Linked DNA regions of Arabidopsis thaliana. The protein of the gene in region 3 interacts with the protein of the main gene of each other region in a biochemical or structural test. Each region holds a gene or a part of one and is shown on either strand. Other genes may lie near its edges.

The links. Proteins that work in one complex are often made in the same cells at the same time.
Region 1: the proteins of ZPR3 (region 3) and PHB form a complex in vitro, tested with the Arabidopsis thaliana proteins (one study listed by BioGRID).
Region 2: the proteins of ZPR3 (region 3) and HB-8 form a complex in vitro, tested with the Arabidopsis thaliana proteins (one study listed by BioGRID).

The regions. Positions count from the first base shown.
Region 1 is NC_003071.7:14,638,109-14,647,126, reverse strand, and holds PHB (Homeobox-leucine zipper family protein / lipid-binding START domain-containing protein), read left to right. Parts: upstream 1-2,771; 5' UTR 2,772-3,133; coding exon 3,134-3,366; intron 3,367-3,928; coding exon 3,929-4,088; intron 4,089-4,179; coding exon 4,180-4,295; intron 4,296-4,380; coding exon 4,381-4,471; intron 4,472-4,587; coding exon 4,588-4,683; intron 4,684-4,764; coding exon 4,765-4,962; intron 4,963-5,036; coding exon 5,037-5,192; intron 5,193-5,276; coding exon 5,277-5,351; intron 5,352-5,439; coding exon 5,440-5,546; intron 5,547-5,631; coding exon 5,632-5,821; intron 5,822-5,912; coding exon 5,913-6,101; intron 6,102-6,192; coding exon 6,193-6,273; intron 6,274-6,355; coding exon 6,356-6,496; intron 6,497-6,587; coding exon 6,588-6,901; intron 6,902-6,999; coding exon 7,000-7,114; intron 7,115-7,199; coding exon 7,200-7,349; intron 7,350-7,432; coding exon 7,433-7,579; 3' UTR 7,580-7,804; downstream 7,805-9,018. UniProt on the Arabidopsis thaliana protein: Probable transcription factor involved in the determination of adaxial-abaxial polarity in ovule primordium. Specifies adaxial leaf fates.
Region 2 is NC_003075.7:15,862,125-15,871,843, reverse strand, and holds HB-8 (homeobox-leucine zipper protein ATHB-8), read left to right. Parts: upstream 1-3,193; 5' UTR 3,194-3,567; intron 3,568-3,984; 5' UTR 3,985-4,021; coding exon 4,022-4,224; intron 4,225-4,310; coding exon 4,311-4,470; intron 4,471-4,553; coding exon 4,554-4,657; intron 4,658-4,789; coding exon 4,790-4,880; intron 4,881-4,962; coding exon 4,963-5,058; intron 5,059-5,148; coding exon 5,149-5,262; intron 5,263-5,364; coding exon 5,365-5,448; intron 5,449-5,524; coding exon 5,525-5,680; intron 5,681-5,853; coding exon 5,854-5,928; intron 5,929-6,012; coding exon 6,013-6,119; intron 6,120-6,204; coding exon 6,205-6,400; intron 6,401-6,483; coding exon 6,484-6,669; intron 6,670-6,769; coding exon 6,770-6,850; intron 6,851-7,124; coding exon 7,125-7,259; intron 7,260-7,339; coding exon 7,340-7,750; intron 7,751-7,841; coding exon 7,842-7,997; intron 7,998-8,110; coding exon 8,111-8,257; 3' UTR 8,258-8,505; downstream 8,506-9,719. Other genes in the region: AT4G32870 (Polyketide cyclase/dehydrase and lipid transport superfamily protein), read right to left, coding at 9,203-9,676. UniProt on the Arabidopsis thaliana protein: Probable transcription factor involved in the regulation of vascular development. May promote differentiation of precambial and cambial cells.
Region 3 is NC_003074.8:19,555,628-19,561,727, reverse strand, and holds ZPR3 (binding protein), read left to right. Parts: upstream 1-2,404; 5' UTR 2,405-2,816; intron 2,817-3,620; 5' UTR 3,621-3,633; coding exon 3,634-3,837; 3' UTR 3,838-4,212; downstream 4,213-6,100. Other genes in the region: PAP20 (Purple acid phosphatases superfamily protein), read left to right, coding at 20-203. UniProt on the Arabidopsis thaliana protein: Competitive inhibitor of the HD-ZIPIII transcription factors in shoot apical meristem (SAM) development. Acts by forming non-functional heterodimers. Part of a negative feedback loop. Involved in SAM development and lateral organ patterning.

The DNA of each region.
Region 1 (9,018 bases), on a different chromosome or scaffold from region 3:
AGGCAAATACTTGAGAAATGAAACTTTAAATTAAAATTCCTGATTCACATATGAAACGAGATAAAAGCGTGGATCTATACGCAAATTTATATCTATATCACATATATTATGTGGAGCTCCAAAAAGAAGTATACCAATGGCGGAAAATGACACCAACAAGAAGAAAGAAAAAGAAAAAAGCATTGTAAATTTTGGGAAATCAAGCAATGTACAATGTAGTGTGTGACATGGGAACAAGAGTAAGTGGACTTGGCCCAGTGGGGTACTCTCTTGCTCCATGCCTCTTGCTAAAATAAAAAGTTGGCACACAAATAAAAATGGAATATATAATTGATAAAGCCAATTATTATTTTGTAAAGATTGATATTGTCAAATTTAAAGGTTTGACATTCTTTTTTCTCCAGCAACCAAACTATTCACTCTATTTGTAGTTTTTTTTTCCTTATCATAAAAGCATCCAAAGCGTTTTAAAAAAATCATTGCATAATGTATAATGTGTTATGGGTGAACAGTCAAAATGCAAATTGCTAAACAATTTAGTACCTAGGCTTTATATTTGAATGAGTAAATGCTGTGTGTTTAATGTTTATCAATGCATTAGTGGTAGATTAAACATGGGTTGAGACTTGAGAGCATATATCTCCACCATAAATATTCAGTCGTAAGTCCAAATATTTTCTTGAAAACAACATTTGAAATGTCATAATAACAAGTACCATTTGGAATTCTATTACAAAAGAGTTAATCCATATAAGTCATATAGATTTTGATTGGTAAATTGGTAACACGATAAAAAAAATGAATGAAAACCTACTTTCACAATCTTTTACTTGTCAGATAATTTTGAAAACTTTTTTCTACAACTTCTTTTTTCATTTGCTTTGATTATGCGATGATATTAACAAATGAAGGATGCGACTAAACCTTCACAACAATGAAAACCAAAAAAAAATCCATTTACCATAGTTCAAACTTCAAACACGGTATATAAATGGTGAACATGCAGGAGTTAATAATCCCTCGTGATGAGGAAAACAAAACTCAAAACTCAAAAGAAAAATGTTTTGAGTGGCGCGAGAAGAAACCTCGTAATATTGTGTAGTTAAATAATGTTAAGTGGTGTTTTATGAAAAGAATACAACTTGAAAAGCATTTATTTTGCGTGTATTCGATGGAGAAAAGTATTTAGTAGTTGTAGCCTTTTATTGAAATAAAAATGGTTAATTGGGTGTCGAAGAAAAGGATATAGGGAGCTACGTGTGGTGGTATCTGCCATGTAGAAAATCGAAGCGCATGCACAAAGTTGGACTCATGATGAGACTTCACATGACCACCTTCATTTATTCCTCCTACTCCTCTCTCTCTCTATGTACAGTATTAGTATTAAATTACGTATATAAAAAAAAAAAAAAAATATTACGTATATATAAAAAAAAAAAAATATTACGTATTTATTTTTTGTCCTAGCGTATAGACACGTAGACCGTAGTTATAAGAAGTTAGTCGTTTGTCCGAGCATTGATTTTGTACAACTCTTACAGAACCTAAAACAGACTGTACTTACCAATGCCAAACTTGTCTGTCTTCTCTTTCTATTTATTTCTTGACTCAAATTTGAATCGAATATATTCATAATCTGACCAGAAAAAACCAAAACTCTAATAAACAAAAAAGCTTTGAAACTAACAAAGCGAAGCCAAATTTCATAAAAGAAAGTTTAAACACACAAAAAGTCCTAATTTGAGGCATTTTTTGACAGGACTAATAACTTTATATTTCAAAAAAATAAAGTCCCTTTCACGCTTCTCACGCGCTCGGTGAGTGACATTCCCACACCATTTTCCTCATGCATGCAACATTTATCATCATCATTATCATAAACCTAATGCATACAAAGATGTACGTAGATATACACATGATGATATATTGTACATGCAACATACATCAGCATCAGCATATGATGAACATCAGAAAGAAGGAAAGAGAAAGAAACTTATGTGATGTCCTTCTCACAGAGCTAAAGACAACAGCATTTTTTTTTCCCTAAGTTAGCAAAATACCCATTTCGTCAAATATCCGTTTCTTCTGACAACAATTTCTTCGAATAAAACATAACAATATTAAAAAGAAAAGGTAAAGAAAAAAACAAAGATTGGCCTGTCTTCTCTGCCTCCATATTAAGTTAGTTATTTTATATGTATTTTTATCATTACTGTTGTGGGTAGAGTAAAAAAAACAGATGGGTTTTGCAGAGACTGTTTTGCGTGTGTTGGCTTTTCTCCTTTATTGTCTTTCCCCTTTTTTATCCTGCACCTTATTTTAATTATTTCTTAGCTAATTTTTTATTGCTACAAATACTAGAATAATTTTATTTTATTTTTGCATCACAAGTTATAACCAGAAGAAACTTATGTAGTAATTAGTACACATAAAACTCAATTGCATTTTCTTTTTACATTTTTTTTTTTTTTTTTTTGGACAAATCATTTTCTTTTTACTAAAGTAAATGTTTTTAGTGAACACATTGAGTACAAATATGGACACAAAGTATAAATTATTATGAGATTTTGCAGTAGATATTAATTTATTTTAGCTATGTAAATAAAACCGTAAAAGTAAAAAGCTTTTATCAAATTCAACCCACCTGGCGTTTCAGTTTTCATTTTTTTTTTACCTTTATGCTGTTTTTATGTTCTTGCAAGTCTTTCTCGCGCCACACAAAAGAAAAGTAATTTCTTTTAGAGTTATGTTTTATTTTTTTTGGACCATGTCTTAAAAGGATCTCGAGATTGGCGTCTGAGATAAAGACCTCTACTTTGCTTCCTTTATCTTGCTCCTCTTATCTCTTCGCTTCTCCTTCCTCTCCTCTCTCGCCATTGCCCTCTGGCGTTTTCTGTCTTGAGCTAAAGAAATAACAAATAAACCGAAAAAAATAAAAATAGAAACTTTTTTTTTTGTTTATTTGTTCTTTCTCCAAAACTCCTTTTTTTTCTCACCATTATCTCATGAACGTGAGTGGAGGCTCTCTGAGTAGAGAGAGCCTACCCTTGAAAATAACCTAGGGATTTCTCCAATTTTCAAGCTTTACCCATTCAAAAGAATCGTCCTTTTTTCCTATTTCTGACTTTGAGCTATGATGATGGTCCATTCGATGAGCAGAGATATGATGAACAGAGAGTCGCCGGATAAAGGGTTAGATTCCGGCAAGTATGTGAGGTACACGCCGGAGCAAGTGGAAGCTCTCGAGAGAGTTTACACTGAGTGTCCTAAGCCAAGTTCTCTAAGAAGACAACAACTCATACGTGAATGTCCGATTCTCTCTAACATCGAGCCTAAGCAGATCAAAGTTTGGTTTCAGAACCGCAGGTGAAATTTCATCTTCTTTCCTTATCAAAGTTGTTACCTTTTGTCTGTATTAATTGTTTTCTTACCATTAGATTATCTTTTTGTTTGTATATGAGTTTATGAAGATGTTAAATGTTTTTCTTTCTTTGACTGGTCAGTTGTATTTAAGTTTCCTTGCTGTTCTTATCTGACAAGAATTTTTTGGATCTCAGTGATCATTTTGTTATGAGTTTTAATCGTCTTCTAAATCTCTTTAAAGCAAGAAACTTTGTTTACCATATGCTTTGACGTATCTAGTTGGTTGAATATCTAAATTCACGAAAGTGACATTTAATCAAATTGTCTTTGAATGCGTTTCCAACATTTATTTCTGTCAAAAGCTTAAGATTTTCTGCCAGAAATTATGATATGATAAAGGGGAAAAATTTACATTATCTTTTCTTCTTTATATCATTGGATGTGTTTTATAAAGACAAATGGTGTCTGTCTCTGTTCATCCACTAACATTTCTTCCCATCATCCATGCACATTTGGCTTTTATGTTGGCTTAGTTGGTCTAACGAAGCTTCCTTTTGATTTTTAGATGTCGTGAGAAGCAGAGGAAAGAAGCTGCTCGTCTTCAAACAGTGAACAGAAAACTCAATGCCATGAACAAACTCTTGATGGAAGAGAATGATCGTTTGCAGAAGCAAGTTTCTAACTTGGTCTATGAGAATGGCCACATGAAACATCAACTTCACACTGTAAAGTTCACTTTTCACTATTTTCTGTCTCTAAAACTCAATTCTATGAAGCATTTTGTTTGAAAGTTGTTATCTTTTTTTTGGAATGTAGGCTTCTGGGACGACCACAGACAACAGCTGTGAGTCTGTGGTCGTGAGTGGTCAGCAACATCAACAGCAAAACCCAAATCCTCAGCATCAGCAACGTGATGCTAACAACCCAGCAGGGTGAGCTTTTCTTGTCTGCTCTATAACTCTCTAATGAATTCTGTTTCCCACTCTGTGACAACCTAAATGGTTCTTTTTTGTTTAGACTCCTTTCTATAGCAGAGGAGGCCCTAGCAGAGTTCCTTTCCAAGGCTACAGGAACTGCTGTTGACTGGGTTCAGATGATTGGGATGAAGGTAATACTTTCTGGCCTGAATACTCTTAAAGTTGTATAATCTGATTTCTATTCTTTAGTTGTGTCTGAAGATGAAGTTGTTTATGATTATTTGATGAACCTTCATTGCTGGTGTAGCCTGGTCCGGATTCTATTGGCATAGTCGCTATTTCGCGCAACTGCAGCGGAATTGCAGCACGTGCCTGCGGCCTCGTGAGTTTAGAACCCATGAAGGTAAAGAGTGCGATTTGTTACGTTCTGGCTTGTGTTTATAATCATTAGCTTACGCTAGTCTTGATTTGAAAACAAATATAGGTTGCTGAAATTCTCAAAGATCGTCCATCTTGGCTCCGAGATTGTCGAAGTGTGGATACTCTGAGTGTGATACCTGCTGGAAACGGTGGGACGATCGAGCTTATTTACACGCAGATGTATGCTCCTACGACTTTAGCAGCAGCTCGTGACTTTTGGACGCTGAGATATAGCACATGTTTGGAAGATGGAAGCTATGTGGTGAGTTCTTGAATCTGCTTTTTCTGTTATGTAGTTTCTGTTTTAATACTTTTGTCTTCACTCACTGTCTTCAGGTTTGTGAAAGGTCGCTTACTTCTGCAACTGGTGGCCCCACTGGGCCACCTTCTTCAAACTTTGTGAGAGCTGAAATGAAACCAAGCGGGTTTCTCATCCGTCCTTGCGATGGTGGTGGTTCCATTCTCCACATTGTTGATCATGTTGATCTGGATGTAAGTGACAACTCGAATCGGTTCATAACACTTCAGTTCTCTCTTTATAATATGATCATGACTTTGTTTTTTCGGTTTTGCAAGGCCTGGAGTGTCCCTGAAGTCATGAGGCCTCTCTATGAATCATCGAAGATTCTTGCTCAGAAAATGACTGTTGCTGTAAGTTCAAATACCTTTATCCAAACTGTATATGACCTGAACGACTTGGTATGCTGCAATGTTTCTTAAGTTCGGAGTCTTATTTCAGGCTTTGAGACATGTAAGACAAATTGCACAAGAAACAAGTGGAGAAGTTCAGTATGGTGGAGGGCGCCAACCTGCGGTTTTAAGAACCTTCAGTCAAAGACTCTGTCGGTAAGTATCTACTTTACTTAATAGCTTTATCACCAAGAATTTCTTTTATTCTTATTCTAATTGTTCAATATGGATGAACTTTCAGGGGTTTCAATGATGCTGTTAATGGTTTTGTGGATGATGGATGGTCACCAATGGGTAGCGATGGTGCAGAGGATGTTACTGTAATGATAAACTTGTCCCCTGGGAAGTTTGGTGGGTCTCAGTACGGTAATTCATTCCTTCCAAGCTTTGGTAGTGGCGTGCTTTGTGCCAAGGCATCTATGTTGCTTCAGGTACATGTCTTAAGGATTTGATAATAAAAAAACTAATATTCTGTTTCTGTCTGTTTCTAACTAACTTGCATCTTTTTTTTTTTGTTTGAAGAACGTTCCACCCGCTGTGCTGGTTCGATTCCTTAGAGAACACCGATCTGAATGGGCTGATTATGGCGTGGATGCTTATGCTGCTGCATCGCTCAGAGCAAGTCCTTTTGCTGTTCCTTGTGCTAGAGCTGGGGGGTTCCCAAGTAACCAAGTCATTCTTCCTCTTGCGCAGACAGTTGAACATGAAGAGGTACTTTTATCAAAGAATAACACAGCTTCACTTTCTCCTCTCTCTAAATACGTGTTATAGTCCTGAAACCTTTCTTGGTTACTTGTTTCAGTCACTTGAGGTGGTTAGACTTGAAGGTCACGCTTACTCACCCGAAGACATGGGTTTAGCTCGGGATATGTATTTGCTACAGGTTTGACTTCATACTTTAACTCCAAAGTTTCTATGCTCCTTTGTTCTCTTCATGACATTTTGGATTCTTGATTCTTGTCTAGCTTTGTAGCGGTGTTGATGAAAATGTGGTTGGAGGTTGTGCACAGCTTGTATTTGCCCCTATCGATGAATCATTTGCTGATGATGCACCTTTGCTTCCTTCCGGTTTCCGCATCATACCTCTTGAACAGAAATCTACTCCGGTAACATGTCAAAAAGCCATTTAAGGATCAGTCCCAAATCATTTATTCTTGACGCAATATTCTAAATTTCTAATCCTTCACTGTCATATAGAACGGTGCATCTGCAAACCGTACCCTGGATTTAGCCTCAGCTTTAGAAGGATCCACACGTCAAGCTGGTGAAGCCGACCCAAATGGCTGTAACTTTAGGTCGGTACTAACCATAGCATTCCAGTTCACATTTGATAACCATTCAAGAGACAGTGTTGCTTCAATGGCACGTCAGTACGTGCGAAGCATAGTAGGATCGATTCAGAGGGTTGCTCTAGCCATTGCTCCTCGTCCTGGCTCCAATATCAGTCCAATATCTGTTCCCACTTCCCCTGAAGCTCTCACTCTGGTCCGTTGGATCTCCCGGAGTTACAGGTACTTCATTATCATTAGCCTCTAGGTTTCTGCTTTTGTTTACATGATCTATGGAGTATTTTATCTGAATTTCTCTTCTTTTCTTTTTGGCTTTGTAGCCTTCACACTGGTGCAGATCTCTTTGGATCTGATTCTCAAACCAGTGGTGACACGTTGCTGCATCAACTCTGGAATCACTCTGATGCAATCTTGTGCTGCTCCCTCAAAACAAACGTAAGTAACAAGGCTTCCCATTCAGATTTTGTATTTGTGACTAGAACATGTTCTTGAGATGACTGACATAAATTCTCATCTGTAGGCTTCACCGGTTTTCACATTCGCAAACCAAACCGGTTTAGACATGCTGGAAACGACTCTTGTAGCCCTTCAAGACATAATGCTAGACAAGACCCTTGACGAACCTGGTCGTAAAGCTCTTTGCTCTGAGTTCCCCAAGATCATGCAACAGGTTTTTGTTTTTTCTTGGGAAACATTTTGACATTTTCTTGGAAAAATCATTGTTTGACTTGGAATCTAAATTTTGTTTTACAGGGCTATGCTCATCTGCCGGCAGGAGTATGTGCGTCAAGCATGGGAAGGATGGTATCTTACGAGCAGGCAACGGTGTGGAAAGTTCTTGAAGACGATGAATCAAACCACTGCTTAGCTTTCATGTTCGTGAATTGGTCGTTCGTTTGAAGAATAATAAGAAATAAGAAGACCAGATTTTACTCCATTTTTCCCTTGGTAGGGAGGTTATTTATGTAAGATATTAAAGTTAGGTGCCACTATGCTCCAAAGTCTTTTGAAATTCGAGGACCAATATGTAATATGACGAATGTCTGATCTTGTATGGATTGTTCTTGTTCCTATGTTACGTTATATGGCAAGATTATTATGATAATGTTATCAAGTTTTTTTTCTTGTGCTCGTTTGCTTTCACAAGGTGACTAGTTTCTATTTTCAACTACCTATTTATATGACCATCTATGTCTAGTTTGTCTACTATAGGGGGTTCTTGTTTGACGTGTAGTTTTTTCTTTCCCTGAATGTTTTAGTTATGCTGCTAAAATTTAGCTCTTTACTGAAGTCTCATAGTTTGTAGCCAAAAAAAAAGAAAAAAAAAAAAATATATGAGTTAAAATTTCGTAAATATCTAATTGGACAAAGAAACTATATTAAGTTTTGGAACATCTAACAGGCTAATAATAATGATGTTTCATTTTTATAAAGTAAGAAAGATAGATGAATGAGCTAGCTGGTTACGTTGTGCAATTTTGGAGTATGTATATCAATAATTATAATAAAATAGAAATATATGTATTATTGATAAGATATTATGTTAGATTTGGGTATTATTGTTTTGTATAATGGAGGGTGGTCCAATTTGAATACAGGTTCTAGTTGTGCGAAGCCGTTAATAGCACTGCAAACAAACTTAAAGATTAGATTTGCATGAATCTTCACAATAAATGAATACATCATGCCTATTTATAAATTGATCGTACACTAAAAAAAAAAAAAAAACGTATACTGAAATCGTATCTATCATAAGAAAAGTAAATGATGATGATGCCTCCTACTCTTTAGCTTATAGGCAGAGAAACCTTTTTTTTGTCAATGAAACCTATACACGTTTTTTTCTCTGTAGTTGTCTATTTTAATGAAAATTTTAAATGTTATCGTATTCTACTGAGAAAGCCACCATTTTGGTAAAAGACTGTAGCAGAAAAAAATGGTTAAAAAAAGTTTTTAGAAAAACGGTGGAAGTGACCATTTTGGTAAAACGGTCGCAATAACATTTCCATAATTGTAGGAAATAAGTTTATCAAGTTGCTGCGCGCCTCTCCTTTAGCTTTAGTAAAGATGAATAAATAATTCATAGGATATCGAAAAAACGATACTGCTTTAATAATTAATATTATTGTACTAAACATTTAATCATAATTTTGTTTCTTCTCATAATTTTGTTTCTTCCCGTGTATATGCATCGGGAACAATACATTTCCTTCCCATTTCACTAGAACTTTTGAAGGCACCACCAAGTTTCTGGATTTTGGAAAAACCACTGATGATGGTATATTACATAAGGCAACATCAACTTTGTAGCCTCTTCCCTCCATGGCTCTATCACCATA
Region 2 (9,719 bases), on a different chromosome or scaffold from region 3:
CATTATCTTTTCATACTATAAAGCTACTCGGTTATAAACTACTAACATTTTCGTTTTTCACTTTTTTTTTGTAATAAGATATTTAAACCAAAGTTAAATAAAACGGAAATTTCTGTACTCTTGAACTTATTATAATGAAAGAAGAGTGAAGTTAGATAATTCATATTTTAGGAGGTCTTATTTATGTATTTTGATAAAAGGACAAAAGACATCTAATAAAAATGCATCAAAATTGTTAATGTTTTCTCTAGAAGATGGTAAAGTAGATTTTAGGTTGGCGATTATAAAAGCCGTACGTTCTCCCGCCATAATTATCTATAGTAATTTTCTGGTGTAGTTAATTAGTACTTAGTGTTATCATTAAGACTCAATTGATCTGTAAGAAACGAATGCCTAGGGCTAGAAGCATATATACACTTAACAAGTAGAAAATATTAATGCAGAGATTAGATATCATTCTTTAATATAAATATGTCATTATAGTTTCATGTCATCGTTACAATAAAAAAAAAGAGAGCAAAATAATAATAGAAAACATACGTCCACTAAATTAGTGGAAACTTTCGACTTTGCTTGCTTTATACTCTTATGCATACATTTCATTATCAAAGGGTCCACTATTTTTTTTTTTGTATACTCTTTAAGAAAGGTGTTGTTTAAATAATACATTCTTAACTATAATTGCTTAAATTATATTTACACATGTATACATTATACATACGCCCGTTGTTCTTTATAGAAAGCTAACGGTCCTTTGGCACCGTTGACATATAATCACATGCCGATCGAAGATAAAAGAAAAGACCCATTAGAGAATTATGATGAGTGACAACTAAGTATGTGCTTTATTCTAGATTTTAGTGAACAGCCTAAAATATACTATTGAAAGTATGTAGCGTTTTAAACTAATTAATCAAACCATAAATAAATGAACAAAAATTGTTTATTTTAAATGCTAAGTTTCGTAACAAAATAATGTTACTTATGAAAGAGACTTCAACTTGATATTTTAATTGAATATTCCCTAAGATTGCATGAAGAGATGAAAGTTCTTGAGGTAATCAATCACATATAAGATTTTTTGTAAAGAAAGAAAAGAAGAAGATTCATCAGCTTACTAAAACGGTAGGAAATAGATTCACAGATATTATATTCCTCATCATCACATTATAGTCTTGAATAGATGTCTCTATCAAAAATATACTTATTAATTATAGTGAAAAGTCGATAATTTAATTTGTTATATGATAAAAACAAAAGAAAAAACACTTGGAGAAATTTATAAGTGAGGAACGCTCAATATTTTACATTATTAATTTTCACTCTTTTCTTGCATATTTATTCTAGCTTTAACTAATAAATACATAGTGTACTTGAACATTTTGTTATAAGATAGTGAATAGTAGAAACTATCTTCAAACTCTGCATAAAAAATTAACAAACATTTTTTTAATATATTCAAACACAGCTGATAGTAGTATATTTGAGTTTTTTGTTTTTTTGTTTTTGTTTTTGTAAAACCTGTTTGTTAATCACGACAAAACTACATCACATTCCCACAAACGCTAAAATAAAAAATAAGACAAGGTAATCGTCATATTTGAGCTATGATATATATATATATATGTTTTTTTTTTTTTACTTTTTTTTTTTATAAAGGCTAACTATTTGTTTTTTGTTTTCAAATACTACTAGCATATATAAGATCTTAATTTTTTGTGTGTTAAATATTATATTTTGAGTTTCAACTGTTATTAGATCAACAGTATCTATCTCTTTTTTTAACACAGTATCTATCCTTACGCAGAATATATCCTCAAAATTTGGAACCAGAGATGTGAATAATGAGTAATATAAGAAAATCGTGCATGGGCTTGAATATAGTGTGCCTTATCACAGGGGACAATGTCGATAAATTTTGCATGCATGTCTCATCTGGTTCTAAAAATTTCATTATAAATATCACGACTGTAACAATGATCATATTATGAAAAATTTCTAAGTTTATATCAGGAATGATGATTGACGATAATGATGATAACTACATGGGATTTTATCTGCGTTACAAGAAATCAAGGACGCATGCAACTTTTTCATCATTCTGTCCTTTCTTCAACTACCATTTGAATTTTCATTTATTATAAGGTATGTTCTTTAAATTATATACCTTCCTTTGTCCCGAAATTAATTAAAAATGGGACTGGATATGTACTTCCACTTCTTAATTTCATATGTTATTTTTAAAAATGGTCGAAAAATGTATAACAATACGCATGCAAAATTTTCTTTGCGCCAAAGTATTAAAATGGCCTGCAACTGTACGGATAAACCAATTTTCAAATGATAATATTTGTATATAATGTTTCTGTATACAGGGGCGGACCCACGTTAGTCTTGGGTGGGGCATGTGCCCGATACTCAATTCTATAAATCTTATATAAGTTTGCATTATGTAATTAAAAATGTATTTAGTTTAGTGGTTTTTTACTTAATGGTGCCCCACATTAACCCAAGTTTAAACCTTGCTGATGTCTTTTTATTGATTTTTTATAACTGTACCCATATAAGATTATTTCCTGGATTAGCCATCTGTATATTAATAAATCGTTTCCTGTGGTTGTGCGATGCATAACCGTCCAAGAAAGTCGTATATTTTTAATACATGTGTTAAAATAGGTTTTAAGTGAGAATTTTTTTAACTTGTGGAGTGTGGAGTGTAGAGTGTAGATGTACATTACCTATATATTTATCCAATTCTGTGTAATAAAGATGTTGGGGCGGCGCCTGCTGCCACATACACATTGGATTAGAAGGGCAAAAGAAGTTCTAATAAGGAGCAAACTAATAGCCATGAAAATTATGAATTTACCATACTGAAAACAAAGGAATTAAGGTTTTGAATTCAATACTTGTTTTGTTATATATGATGTTGATGTGACGTATTTGTGCGTTTCTCATAGTGACTTTGAAAGGAAGGCTAAACGAATTTGCAGTAAAAGTAACAGAAGAAACACTTCAAAATTGAATTAAAATGAAGAAAAAAAAGAATGAGAAAAAGTGAGAAGTGGTGGTTGTCTGGTATTAAGGGTACTCACTTCTCTCCTTTTCAACACAGCCCGACACACATGTCTCTTTTTTTTTTTTTCATACACACATTTCTATTTATTAGTTTCCTAAAATAAAAATTATAAAACAAAAAGCACACCCACCCATAAACTAAAGCTTTTCTCTCTCATCCCACTACAAATCTTATATACAAGTTTCGCAAATCTTGACTCTTCACGTTGTGGATCTATCTAGAGAGATAAGTAAGAGAGAGGAAGAGTAAGGAAGAAAGTGGTTGAACTGTAGCAGAGTCTGAGGTTTGAATCTTGTAGTTCCCATTGAAGCATGCTTCACCGTTTTTTCCGAAGGAAGTTACTCATCCACTGAGAGAGAAAGAGGGATTTGGAGATAGAGAAAGAAATTTCTCAGATGGGTTTGTGAGAATTCACAGCAAGAGCAAGAAACTCCTATATCTTCCTTTGCTTCCAGAGACCAGCGTGATCAAAAACAAATATTTTTACGGTATCTATAAGAATCCTCCCCTCTTTTTCTTTTTCCTTAAAGAGAATTTTTTTGCATCTTTCTTAGGTTCCAATAAATATGCAGAAGAAAGTTAAAATTTTTGTACCGTCGTTGAACCTTTTAAAGACCTAATTAAGAGACAAGATCATACTAAGCTCATAAATCACTTTCTATTTACACATATATAGGTTATTAATCTTAAACAAGATCTATATTTTATCTTTGAGATTTTTCAAGATTTCATCAAGTGTCACGTTCATTCATTGATTACATTTCAAATTTCACTAAGAAAGTTAAAACACGGATCTTTTTGAGAATATCAAGAAAGTTCTTTGAAATATACCAAAAGAAATCAGTACTTTCAAGAATACATAACTTTTTAGGTTGTGTTAAATAATATTTGCTTTTGTAATAAAGGAACAAAATTAAATAGAGAGATCGGAGAGGATCAAAGATGGGAGGAGGAAGCAATAATAGTCACAATATGGACAACGGGAAGTACGTGAGGTACACTCCTGAACAAGTGGAAGCTCTGGAGAGACTCTACAATGACTGTCCTAAACCGAGCTCTATGCGCCGCCAACAGCTAATCCGCGAATGTCCTATCCTCTCCAACATCGAGCCTAAACAGATAAAAGTCTGGTTCCAGAACCGCAGGTTCAATTTCTTCTTAATTCTCATCATTTCTTGACACCCAAGAAACTTTCTAGGTTTATAACTCTTGGCGCTGTGAGTTTATACAGGTGTAGAGAAAAACAGCGAAAAGAGGCGTCACGACTTCAAGCTGTGAATAGGAAGCTAACGGCAATGAACAAGCTTTTGATGGAAGAGAATGACCGCTTGCAAAAGCAAGTGTCTCACTTGGTTTATGAGAACAGCTATTTTCGCCAACATCCTCAAAACGTAGATAGATTAATTTATTTGATTCATTCACATTAATTAGTTGACACATAAGTTAAGGAATTGAAATAGTCTGTCGCTCTCAGCAGGGGAATTTGGCTACCACAGATACTAGCTGTGAGTCAGTGGTGACGAGTGGTCAACACCACTTGACCCCTCAACATCAGCCTCGTGATGCTAGTCCTGCTGGGTAAGTTAGAACCAACAATTCTTGGCTTTAAATAACATGACACACTTTTGAGTCAGTTTTTGTTCTCTGCCACCATTTAAAGCTTCTATATATCTTTGTTAAATCAATGAATCTCTTTGAGTGTATCTCCAGATTATTGTCCATTGCGGATGAAACTTTAACAGAGTTCATTTCCAAGGCGACTGGAACCGCTGTCGAGTGGGTCCAAATGCCTGGGATGAAGGTAATTCTCATAAGTCTATCTCGTCTTCTTTTATCTATGATTCAATCATTTTCACTTCCTTACTGACTAATTTCATCTGCAGCCTGGTCCGGATTCCATAGGAATCGTTGCTATTTCTCATGGATGCACGGGAATCGCTGCTCGTGCTTGCGGCCTTGTGGGTCTTGATCCCACAAGGGTAAGTACTATTCTCACTTCTTTCTAATAGGTACATCCTCATAGATCAACCAAGAACATAAATCACATTTCTGTTTTGTTTTTTTCGCAGGTCGCGGAGATCCTAAAGGATAAGCCTTGTTGGTTGCGTGATTGCAGATCTCTGGATATAGTTAACGTACTATCCACTGCAAATGGTGGAACCCTTGAACTAATCTACATGCAGGTATTGATGATCAAGAACCCTAAAGATGATTTTATCTTCAGCACAAACCAAATAATCGAATCACACAAAACTAAATTTTCCTCTCTTTCTTTCTCATGAAAGCTTTATGCGCCGACAACACTGGCACCAGCTCGTGACTTCTGGATGCTACGTTACACATCTGTAATGGAAGACGGGAGCCTTGTGGTAATTATCCTCTTAACATCGATGCTTTGTTTCTCTTTTGATCATTCGATGATACTAATTTAAGATGTTATTGCAGATATGCGAACGATCACTGAACAATACACAAAACGGGCCAAGTATGCCTCCGTCTCCTCATTTCGTTAGGGCAGAGATTTTACCAAGTGGTTACCTCATTAGACCTTGCGAAGGAGGTGGATCCATTCTTCACATTGTCGATCATTTCGATCTTGAGGTAGCCTCACAAGTTTTATCATTTTTTTCTTCTTACACAAGAAACCTAATTCTTGGTCTAAAACTGAAGTGTTTCCTCTGTTTTCACAATTCGTTCTTTATCTCTAGTCATTATTATATACTTTTTGGTGCCAATGATATATATTCAAATAACCTGGTTGAAATCGTTTGTAGCCATGGAGTGTGCCAGAAGTTCTTCGTTCTCTCTATGAGTCCTCCACTTTACTCGCCCAAAGAACTACAATGGCCGTAAGATTCCTAATTAAAGACACATTGTTTTTCATGTATTTGAAAAGAAAAAAACTGTGTGTAAATAACTTATGGTGTTTGCAGGCTCTGCGCTATTTGAGGCAAATATCTCAAGAGATTTCACAACCTAACGTAACAGGTTGGGGAAGAAGACCAGCGGCTCTTAGAGCACTTAGCCAAAGGCTTAGCAAGTAATTAGAGCTTCTCACACTTCAAAAACACTTTTAAAAAAACATTACGTCTTCTAAAACCTAAAATTGTTTTTGTTAATGTCAGAGGATTCAACGAAGCAGTGAATGGGTTCAGCGATGAAGGATGGTCCATCCTAGAGAGTGATGGTATCGATGATGTCACTCTTCTTGTGAACTCCTCTCCCACAAAGATGATGATGACTTCAAGTCTCCCATTTGCCAATGGCTACACTTCTATGCCTAGCGCGGTCTTATGTGCCAAAGCTTCCATGTTATTACAAGTAATTAAGCTCATCAAATCTCAAAGTGAGATTCTCAATTTACTCCCTTTCATCCATCACTAATATTATTTTTGTTTGTGTAGAATGTTCCACCTTCGATTCTGCTGCGGTTCTTGAGGGAACATAGACAAGAATGGGCAGACAATAGCATCGATGCATATTCGGCCGCAGCCATCAAAGCAGGCCCTTGTAGCTTACCAATCCCTCGCCCAGGGAGCTTTGGTGGTCAAGTCATTCTTCCTCTAGCTCACACTATAGAGAATGAAGAGGCAAGTACTCTACTAAGAGATTCTCAAAGTCAAATCAATGTAACTACGTTTTTGAATAAACTAAGTAAACTAATGCCCTTTTATGTCCTCTGTTTTCCAGTTTATGGAAGTCATTAAGCTTGAGAGCTTGGGGCACTACCAAGAAGACATGATGATGCCTGCTGATATCTTCCTTCTGCAAGTAAGACCTAATTTTCATTTGTGCCAACATGTGAAAAATAAATAGAACAATTTTTTGACATCTGTTTTGAAATGTGTTTAAAATCGCAAAGATTGTGTGGTCTCATTTGAAAAACACACACACATTTCTAAAGGCAAACACCAATTCAAGATTATATCTATTTTGATAATTTTTGCTCATTGATAGACTCTATAGCGAGACGTTATTAGTCTTGTTGCAACTACTCAATTTTATGATTCTAATATATATAATTTTGTACTGTTTGATGATATAGATGTGCAGTGGGGTGGATGAGAACGCAGTTGAATCATGCGCAGAGCTTATATTTGCACCAATCGACGCATCTTTCTCTGATGATGCACCAATCATTCCTTCCGGTTTCCGCATCATTCCTCTAGATTCCAAATCAGTACGTTCAATTCATATAACAATCAAAATCATTAACTTTAGTTGAATCAAATACTAATTTATAAATCGAATTATGTATAGGAGGGGTTGAGTCCTAACCGAACGCTAGACCTAGCGTCGGCTCTAGACGTAGGGAGCAGAACAGCCGGAGATTCATGTGGAAGCAGAGGAAACTCAAAGTCCGTTATGACTATAGCGTTTCAGCTAGCTTTTGAGATGCATATGCAAGAGAATGTAGCCTCAATGGCTAGACAGTATGTAAGAAGTGTGATCGCGTCGGTTCAACGGGTCGCACTTGCTCTCTCTCCTTCTTCTCATCAGCTAAGTGGCTTGCGTCCTCCACCCGCGTCACCCGAAGCTCACACTCTCGCTCGCTGGATCTCTCACTCTTATAGATGTTACCTTGGCGTTGATCTTCTCAAACCTCATGGAACTGATCTTCTCAAGTCTCTTTGGCACCATCCTGACGCTGTCATGTGTTGCTCACTCAAGGTAATTTTCTTACTTCTACTCACTCAAGAACATCGATTATGCTCATACATAATCTATAACAAGGAAAGTGAACTGGTTTTGATCATTTCAGGCCTTATCTCCGGTATTCACATTTGCGAACCAAGCTGGTTTAGACATGCTGGAGACGACGTTGGTGGCACTTCAAGATATCACTCTCGACAAGATCTTCGACAACAACAACGGGAAGAAGACTTTATCCTCCGAATTCCCTCAGATCATGCAACAGGTACGTTAAACCGAGTCATGCATTTAGTTAGCTTAAGTTAGAAAAAAAGAAAAGAAATTGTGTAACGGTATTGATGAAATCATAAATACTAATTAGCAATAATAAATGTGAAGGGGTTTATGTGTATGGATGGAGGAATATGCATGTCGAGCATGGGAAGAGCAGTAACGTACGAGAAGGCTGTTGGGTGGAAAGTGTTGAACGACGACGAAGATCCTCATTGTATCTGCTTCATGTTCCTCAACTGGTCTTTTATATGACCTTTTTTCCATGTTTTTCCTTAATTATCAAAACACAGACCTTTTTTTCCGGAGATATATTTATATATACTCTTACTCTTAGTTAATTTGTATTTAGTTATATCATCTCTAATTTTGAAAGAATTTACTTACTTTTATGGTCTTTGCAACACTCTAGTCTCTAGTTTGTGTTAGCCTGTTGTTGATAAGGCAAGTTACGTTTGGAAATTCATTTTTTCTGGTATGGAAATTCAATATTTTTTCTAAAATTGGAACATTTACTTCAAATCCACTAGTCTTGCCAAGCCTAAAGGCTGTTAGAAATAACAAGTGAAAAGCCCAAGACAATTTGGTTCGTGACGACAATGGTTTTTTGTGTATCGTCCTAAGAGTAACAAGTGAAAAGCCCAAGACAGTTCAAGTGAATTCTTCTTTGAAACTTTTACATAATCCTCTAAACACATTGTTCATGTTCATGGTTTGAAAAGTTGTTAATATATTGATGTCAAAAAAAGGAAAAAAAAGTTGTTAAAGATGACGGCCCAAACAAAGGCCAAATAAGCCCGACAAGGAAGAAGACTGACGTATGGCAATATCTGCCACGTGACCGAAGAATCCATTCCCGAGACTCACATAATAAATTCTTAAAGCTATTTGATTCGTATAACGCTTGTAATTAATGCTGTCGTTTCCAATACATTTTTAGAGAACAATTCTTCGTGGTTCACATCCTTTTAGAATATTTTTATGGTTGATATTCTTTTAGAATATATTTTAAATTTGTCAAATACTTTACTTTTATTGTTTGCAAATCAGCTGCAACGGACGAAAAAAATCGAAGCTAAAATGTAATGGCAGAATAATATAACGTACGAATCCAATTTTATTTAATTTCAACTAACATGAAACCCACCAACTAGTCTTACACGTACGGTAAAAACACACAAACGAAGAAAGAAAAAGATATTACAGATTGAGTTCCATTTTGTTGGCCATATGTTGAAGGCAAAAGTCAACGTATGATTCGAGGTCTTCCTTCTTCCAACCATCAACAGGATCGGCAACAAACGACCACTCGATTCGAGACACTTGATCTTCACCGTCCACTGGCGTTACTTGGACTGTCGCCACGTAAGATCTAAACCCTACGTTATTCTCGAGGATCTCATAGCTCAAACACCGTCCAATGGGATCGATCTTGACCAGCTTCTCTTTAGCCCACCTGCTTCCCTCTTCCTTGGTTTTGGTGGTGGAGCAGTATCGGATCAGACCCGGTACACCATCGGTTCCTTGGACTCGGTAACACGTATCGACTGATGGGAACCACTCTTGGACGTTGCAGAAGTCAGAAAAAACCGACCAAACTTTCTCAGCCGTGACACCGTTGACTTGAGCGACTTTCTTACCCTCCCACTTAAACGACACCGTTTCCGTTCCCATTTGGCCTACGATTTTGCTTCGATGCAATGTTTGCTAGGAAGAA
Region 3 (6,100 bases):
TTTTTGATAATCATCATAGGTATAGAGATCCAAATCCCGAAATATCATTGTTTAGAGAAGCAAGTTTCGGGCATGGTCAATTGGTGGTCGAGAATGCGACTCATGCACGTTGGGAATGGCACAGGAACGACGATGATGTGTCGGTTGAAAAGGATTCGGTTTGGTTAACCAGTCTCTTAGCCGATTCATCTTGTAAGATTTAGACCCCCTCGGTTCGTATTCTTGAATGTGGTTAGGACTTGTTCCTCATCATTGATTCTATAAGATTATATGTTAAATGTCGATGTAGAATCGTAGATACTAAAAGTACTTATATATAGTATTGAGTATTGACAACAATATCAAAACAGGACACAAATGTTTTGATACCAAGTCAATTAAGAATTATATCTCATTTATATTTTAAGTTGTTATATTTTCTTTGTTGCTTTTCAACTTTTCAAATCCTTATCACTTTTTGCATATTGCTAATTCATATCAAACTAGATTTGCTTGTTGAATCGTGAGCGTCGATATTTATCCATATTTAAATGAAAATTACTTCTGTAGTAGTCCATCCAAACATCTGTAGTAGTCCTTTATTTAAAAGTTAAGATGTGCAATGATAATGTTTGCATGCAGTCTAATATGAACACACTTTACACCTTATGAATTCTGAATCGTCTGGCGCAAACATCTAACCACCAAAAACCTAAAAAAACAATCAGAAGAACGAAGAATGGAGAATAGAACAGAGAATCATTTATGTGAGATTTGATTTACCTAACTCTTCCGCCACCACCGACGCAGCAGATGATGCGACATCAATCGCCGGTAAATCAATCTCGGGTATAGCAATCGAACCACTGCGCACATCGCCTTCGAGGTGGATGTGGACTCCTTCAAATAAAGAGATTTCAGTACTTTTCTTGTGCAAAAGAGGCATGCTCCATCATACAACATGAATGTATACATACAGTAGTACGTAGCAAAATGAAATATACGTCATATAAACACAAACTTATATAGACTTTTAATCAGTTAAATTACGGTATATTTTTTTAATTCGTTTGTGTTTATATTATAAAGTTCAAAAAAGATTAGGTTAGATTAACAAAGGAGAAAATAACTAGAAAATTCCAATTAATTAATAAAAGCGAAATATAGTTTCTCTGAATGGTAATCTAATATTCTATACCAAACATTTACTACATTAATAGGGGTTACCAAAACCGAATATTTGAATATTCTTAGGTTTTTGAAATTTACATGGTAAAGAGACAAAGTTTTCAACCTTTTTGGGGTGTGAAAATTGGTCCGACTGGGTTATGATTAACCAAAATTAATCCTAGAACCAACTATATTTATAAATTAAAGTTTCATTTTATAAATAAAAATCAACACCAAACCGAATTGTCAAACTTAGACCAAAGCAATGAGGGGTAGAAACGGCATTGCATAGGCCAGCAAGAAATGAAGCTGCTCACACCTTTAAAATCATTGCCTTTGGTGTAAGCAAGTGTACCCACTCTTTAGTTCCATTTCAAGACACACCTACTTAATACTAATTGTGTTTCAGTTTTGTTTAACTTCTACAATCAGCATATTTACAAAAAACACAATTTCTCACATTTATTCCGTGAAAGAAGGGTTAAAAGAAGCCGTACAAGATTTATATACACAAGCCAAAGTAGTTTTAAATAAACGTGAAATTGTAGTCATCTTCTTTTTGGGGGTTAAGTCATGGGCAAACGAACGAGTTTTATTCAAAGGCATGTGAAGTTACGAAAAAAAGAGAAGTCATAAATACATCCAAAAACAACCACCTCACTGTTTATGATGTTTCACGTTCTACAACACTTTTGATCCATGATTATTTTTTGTAGGTTTTACGGCTCCAAAGTCCAAACACTCTTCTTCTTCATTATTTCTTTCTTTTTTTCTTCTCCCACCATAATTATATCAAATCTTGAATGCTGAGACAATATAAGAGGACAAAAAAATGCATTTTCAAATTGTGGTATACTATGATTTTCATACAAAGAAAAAAGTAACAAATAGTTTAACACACAAAGGAAACTATTTGTATCCGAAATAATAATCTAAAACATAATAATGGTGGAGTGTAATATTTGAACTAAACCAAGATTGAGCTAACCGGGACATGAGATGGGGAAAGAGAGCATTTACAAAATGGTCCAAAACGGTTGAAATAGAATCATGAAGGATGATGGTTCGAACCAATCTTTACCATCATTGCGAATCTTTAGAGGTCGATGGCCTCTTCTACTATAGCCCCTCTCATTAGTCCTACACAAATGACAATATTACCCTCCTCTGTACTACTTCCTTCGTAATGACGTAAATACCCTTACTCTAGTTCTTTTAACCGAATCTTCTGTTTAGAGGACGAATACGATGAAGAGCCAAAGGAAGTGCTAGGGGATCTTTCGGAAATTACGAAAATATCCCTGAAGATCAATTTCGAAAGAAGAGCAAGCAAGAAAACTCCTTTTTTTTTTCTTCTCTCTCTCTAACTTCTTTCTCTTTAATAAATCATCATCATTCACATGACGCAATATGCACAAATCTCCTCTCTCTCTCTCTCTTCTTGCGGCCGCCATCTATGCAGAAACACAACACAATGCATGATTGTTGTGTCAGGAGAGAGAAGGTTCTTTCTCTTTCTCTTTAGCTTTTGGGGATCTATATAACAGACAGTGTCTCACTTTGTTCTCTTTGTCCCTCTACCTTCTCTACACACACAAACTAGCGTCTCTCTTCTCTCTCTCAATCTTTCTTCGTTATCTCTGCTTCTCAACACTCCTTCCCAAAAGGTATAACCTCTATTCTCCTTCTCTCTCTCTCACTCTCTTACTGTTCTAGAAGCTTAACGTGAGTTTTCTCGACATGCTCTGTTTCTGTTTCTTGCTCTGTTATCTATCGCTTTTGCGTTCATACGTTAAGATAATAGTTATGTAGTAACGTCACACGTACAACTAACGTGAAGACAAACCCTTAATTTCTCTCTTTTTCTATGTTAAAACTTTTTCATCTTTTAAAATATTCCTCAATGATGGAAAGTTTTTAATCTTTATCTTTTTCTTTGAGGCAACCGAAATAAATAAAAAAAATTGTTTGATTTTTCTTTTTAATAGTCTGTATTGCTACGATCACCATCTTTGTTTTGTTGCTTACTCTGTTTTTTTCTAGCGTTTCAAATATAATCATTACTCTCTCTGTCCATAGAGGTTAAAACATTTATAATTACTGCATATATATCATCATGATTACTTGTTTTTATCTCTTTTCTTCAATTTCTTTCTCTTTATTAGCTTTATCTTTTTATCCTCCATACAAATTTATAATCATGTTCTTCTTCTCTCTTTGATCATTGATTTCATAAAAAGAAGAAAAAGAAATTCACATGAAAACGAAATAAATGCGACAAATGATTTTTCCTATAGCTAATGTAATTCACATCCGACGTGTGAAGCTGCACAACCCATGTGTGATGTAATGATTTAACATGAACAATAATAATCATAACACAAGCTTTGGTTTTATTGATATTATTACTCTCTTTTTCTCATTTATTTTTCAAAATTCGTAATAATACTTTTGTTTTGTTTTACTTGTAGCAAGAAAGCAGAAATGGAGAGGCTAAACTCGAAGCTGTTTGTTGAAAACTGTTACATAATGAAAGAGAACGAGAGACTAAGGAAGAAAGCTGAGCTTCTGAATCAAGAGAACCAACAGCTTTTGTTTCAACTCAAACAGAAACTCTCCAAAACTAAGAACTCTAACAATGGATCAAACAATGACAACAAATCAAGCTCTGCTTCTGGACAATCTTGATTTAAATCAAGAATACGTTAGAGCAAGAGATCTCGAATCCGTACGTAGGAGAAGATTAAAAGAAGACCCAACCTTTTGGAAGTATTTTATTTTGTTTGGTGTATTATAGGAAGATAAGTAGTATCGAGCACTGTAGTAGTTATTATGAAAAGAAGATTCTGTTTTATTACAAGAAGACAGTGTCTCTCTGTTAGTCTTCTCAGTCATATTTTTACTTTTGTTTCTATTTTCTATGTTAATTAAAGATCCTCTGGTGTGGGGTTGGGGACTTTAGGATATGGTTGATTCTTGGACTAACATTTTGTACCTTTGCTCCATTTATCAAATATTGTCAAGTGCATATCAATCAACTAATGTATCGTATATAACATGGGGACAAGTTATTCGATTTTTATAATCATATACAAAACGCATTCAATATTGATATATCATCTCATACAAAAACAAAAGTGACCCATTTTGTCCATGATATTTTCCGATCGAGTAAGACAGTAAGTGGAAACTGAATCGTTGAATTGACACTAATTATTCATCAGGATTAGCAAACACTTCTTAAGTATAAATAGGTCTATGTAATTTTCAAGTAGACTAGAGTAGAGGAAATGAGGAAGAAAAACAATATTAATAGTAGTGTTTGTGTATATATAGTCTACATGTGTTGTAGCAAGTTCAATGAAAGCTTTATCCTAACATTCTAAATTGAAATGATTTAATTATTATGCCATGTGCATCTGAACAATTTAATTATTATGGTTCAAACCAGTTGTTGATAATATTGGTCATGTAAATCATTTCCTTCAACAACAGTAATACTGGATAAAACCTCAGAATGGATAATATCAGAATACTATAGCTTTAAATAGACCAAAATTGATGCTACGTCAAATTTACACACACTCTTGGGTTTGAATATGAATTATAAACTCCAGTCACTCTCTAAATGTGTATATCTATTTTTTTTTTTTTTTTGTTATGATGGATGAATTGAGCATAAAATGTTAACTAATTAATTAAATTTTTAAAAACTAAATAATTTCCCAATATTCGTTTGGAATATATATTTTCCATTTAGAAAATAAAAGAAAAAGGAGGGCAGAAGGTGTCATGACATGAGATTCAAGCGGCTCTGTCCAGAGAGATGAGACAAGGGGCTTTTCATTCGGATTCTATGTGACGCCATCACACACACCCCTACAAGTTATTATTATATAGTATTAGTCAAAAAACTATTCATTTTCGTTTGAAAAACTAAACTACGAGTTCTCTGCTCTTTTATTTGACTTCTATTTTTCCTACAACTACTTTCTAAACATCAAGTCATTTCACATTTTTTTTTTCTTTTTTTTTTTCAATTCTTCACATTTTCAATAAAAACTTGAATATTTTCAAATTGGATTTAAAATAATTTGTTTCCTAAACATTTTATAATGACAAATCAAATTCTTCATATGAGGTCGATAAACAAAACCTTATTAAATTAAGGATATACCAATATTGGAGCACTATACTTTAATGTGTCCTTTAATTTTGTTATACATCAATGTGTCCTTTAGTTTATTTCGTGGAAATATGGGAAAACAAATATAAGTGAATAATAAAAATTATATTTTTAGCAAAAAAAACCCCGTAAAATAGATATTTATAATAATACAAATAAAGTAAGGAGTATATAGACATACAAATGTTTAGCTAGGTTTATTTGTCAGCATTTTTTTTTAATTGCTTGTATAAGCTTTTCTTGTCAACTATGTGTAACTATATCCTGTCATAATTATACTAGTTTAATAGAATTTACTTTAACTTGAAAAATTCCCACAAGTAATGAGTAAATAGACAAAAAGTTTTGGATATACTTAACACATATTTTAAACATCGCAAATACGGATGCAATATCAATAGTAACATTTGGTATGTTCTTGCATATCAAAATGTGTTCGACAAAAATAGACTAGAAAAACAAGGAAGATGTCGCATCGAACTCAAGTGTTTGTGTGAAAAATAAAATTTGAGGCGAAGAAGAACAATCATGATATAATTGGCCGAAATGAATAATCATCATATATCATAAAACAAGGCAAACTCGAAGTCAACTTTGAAATCTCAGTTTTAGAGATGTCCGATTTATGATTACTCCAAATCTCTTTGGAAGACCATGCAAGGCATCATCATCTGACGTCAGAATTAATTATGGACCTCTGGTTTTCAATTTTCACAATCATTATATTTCCTCACTTCTTATTTATGAGACCTAGATCTTGATATC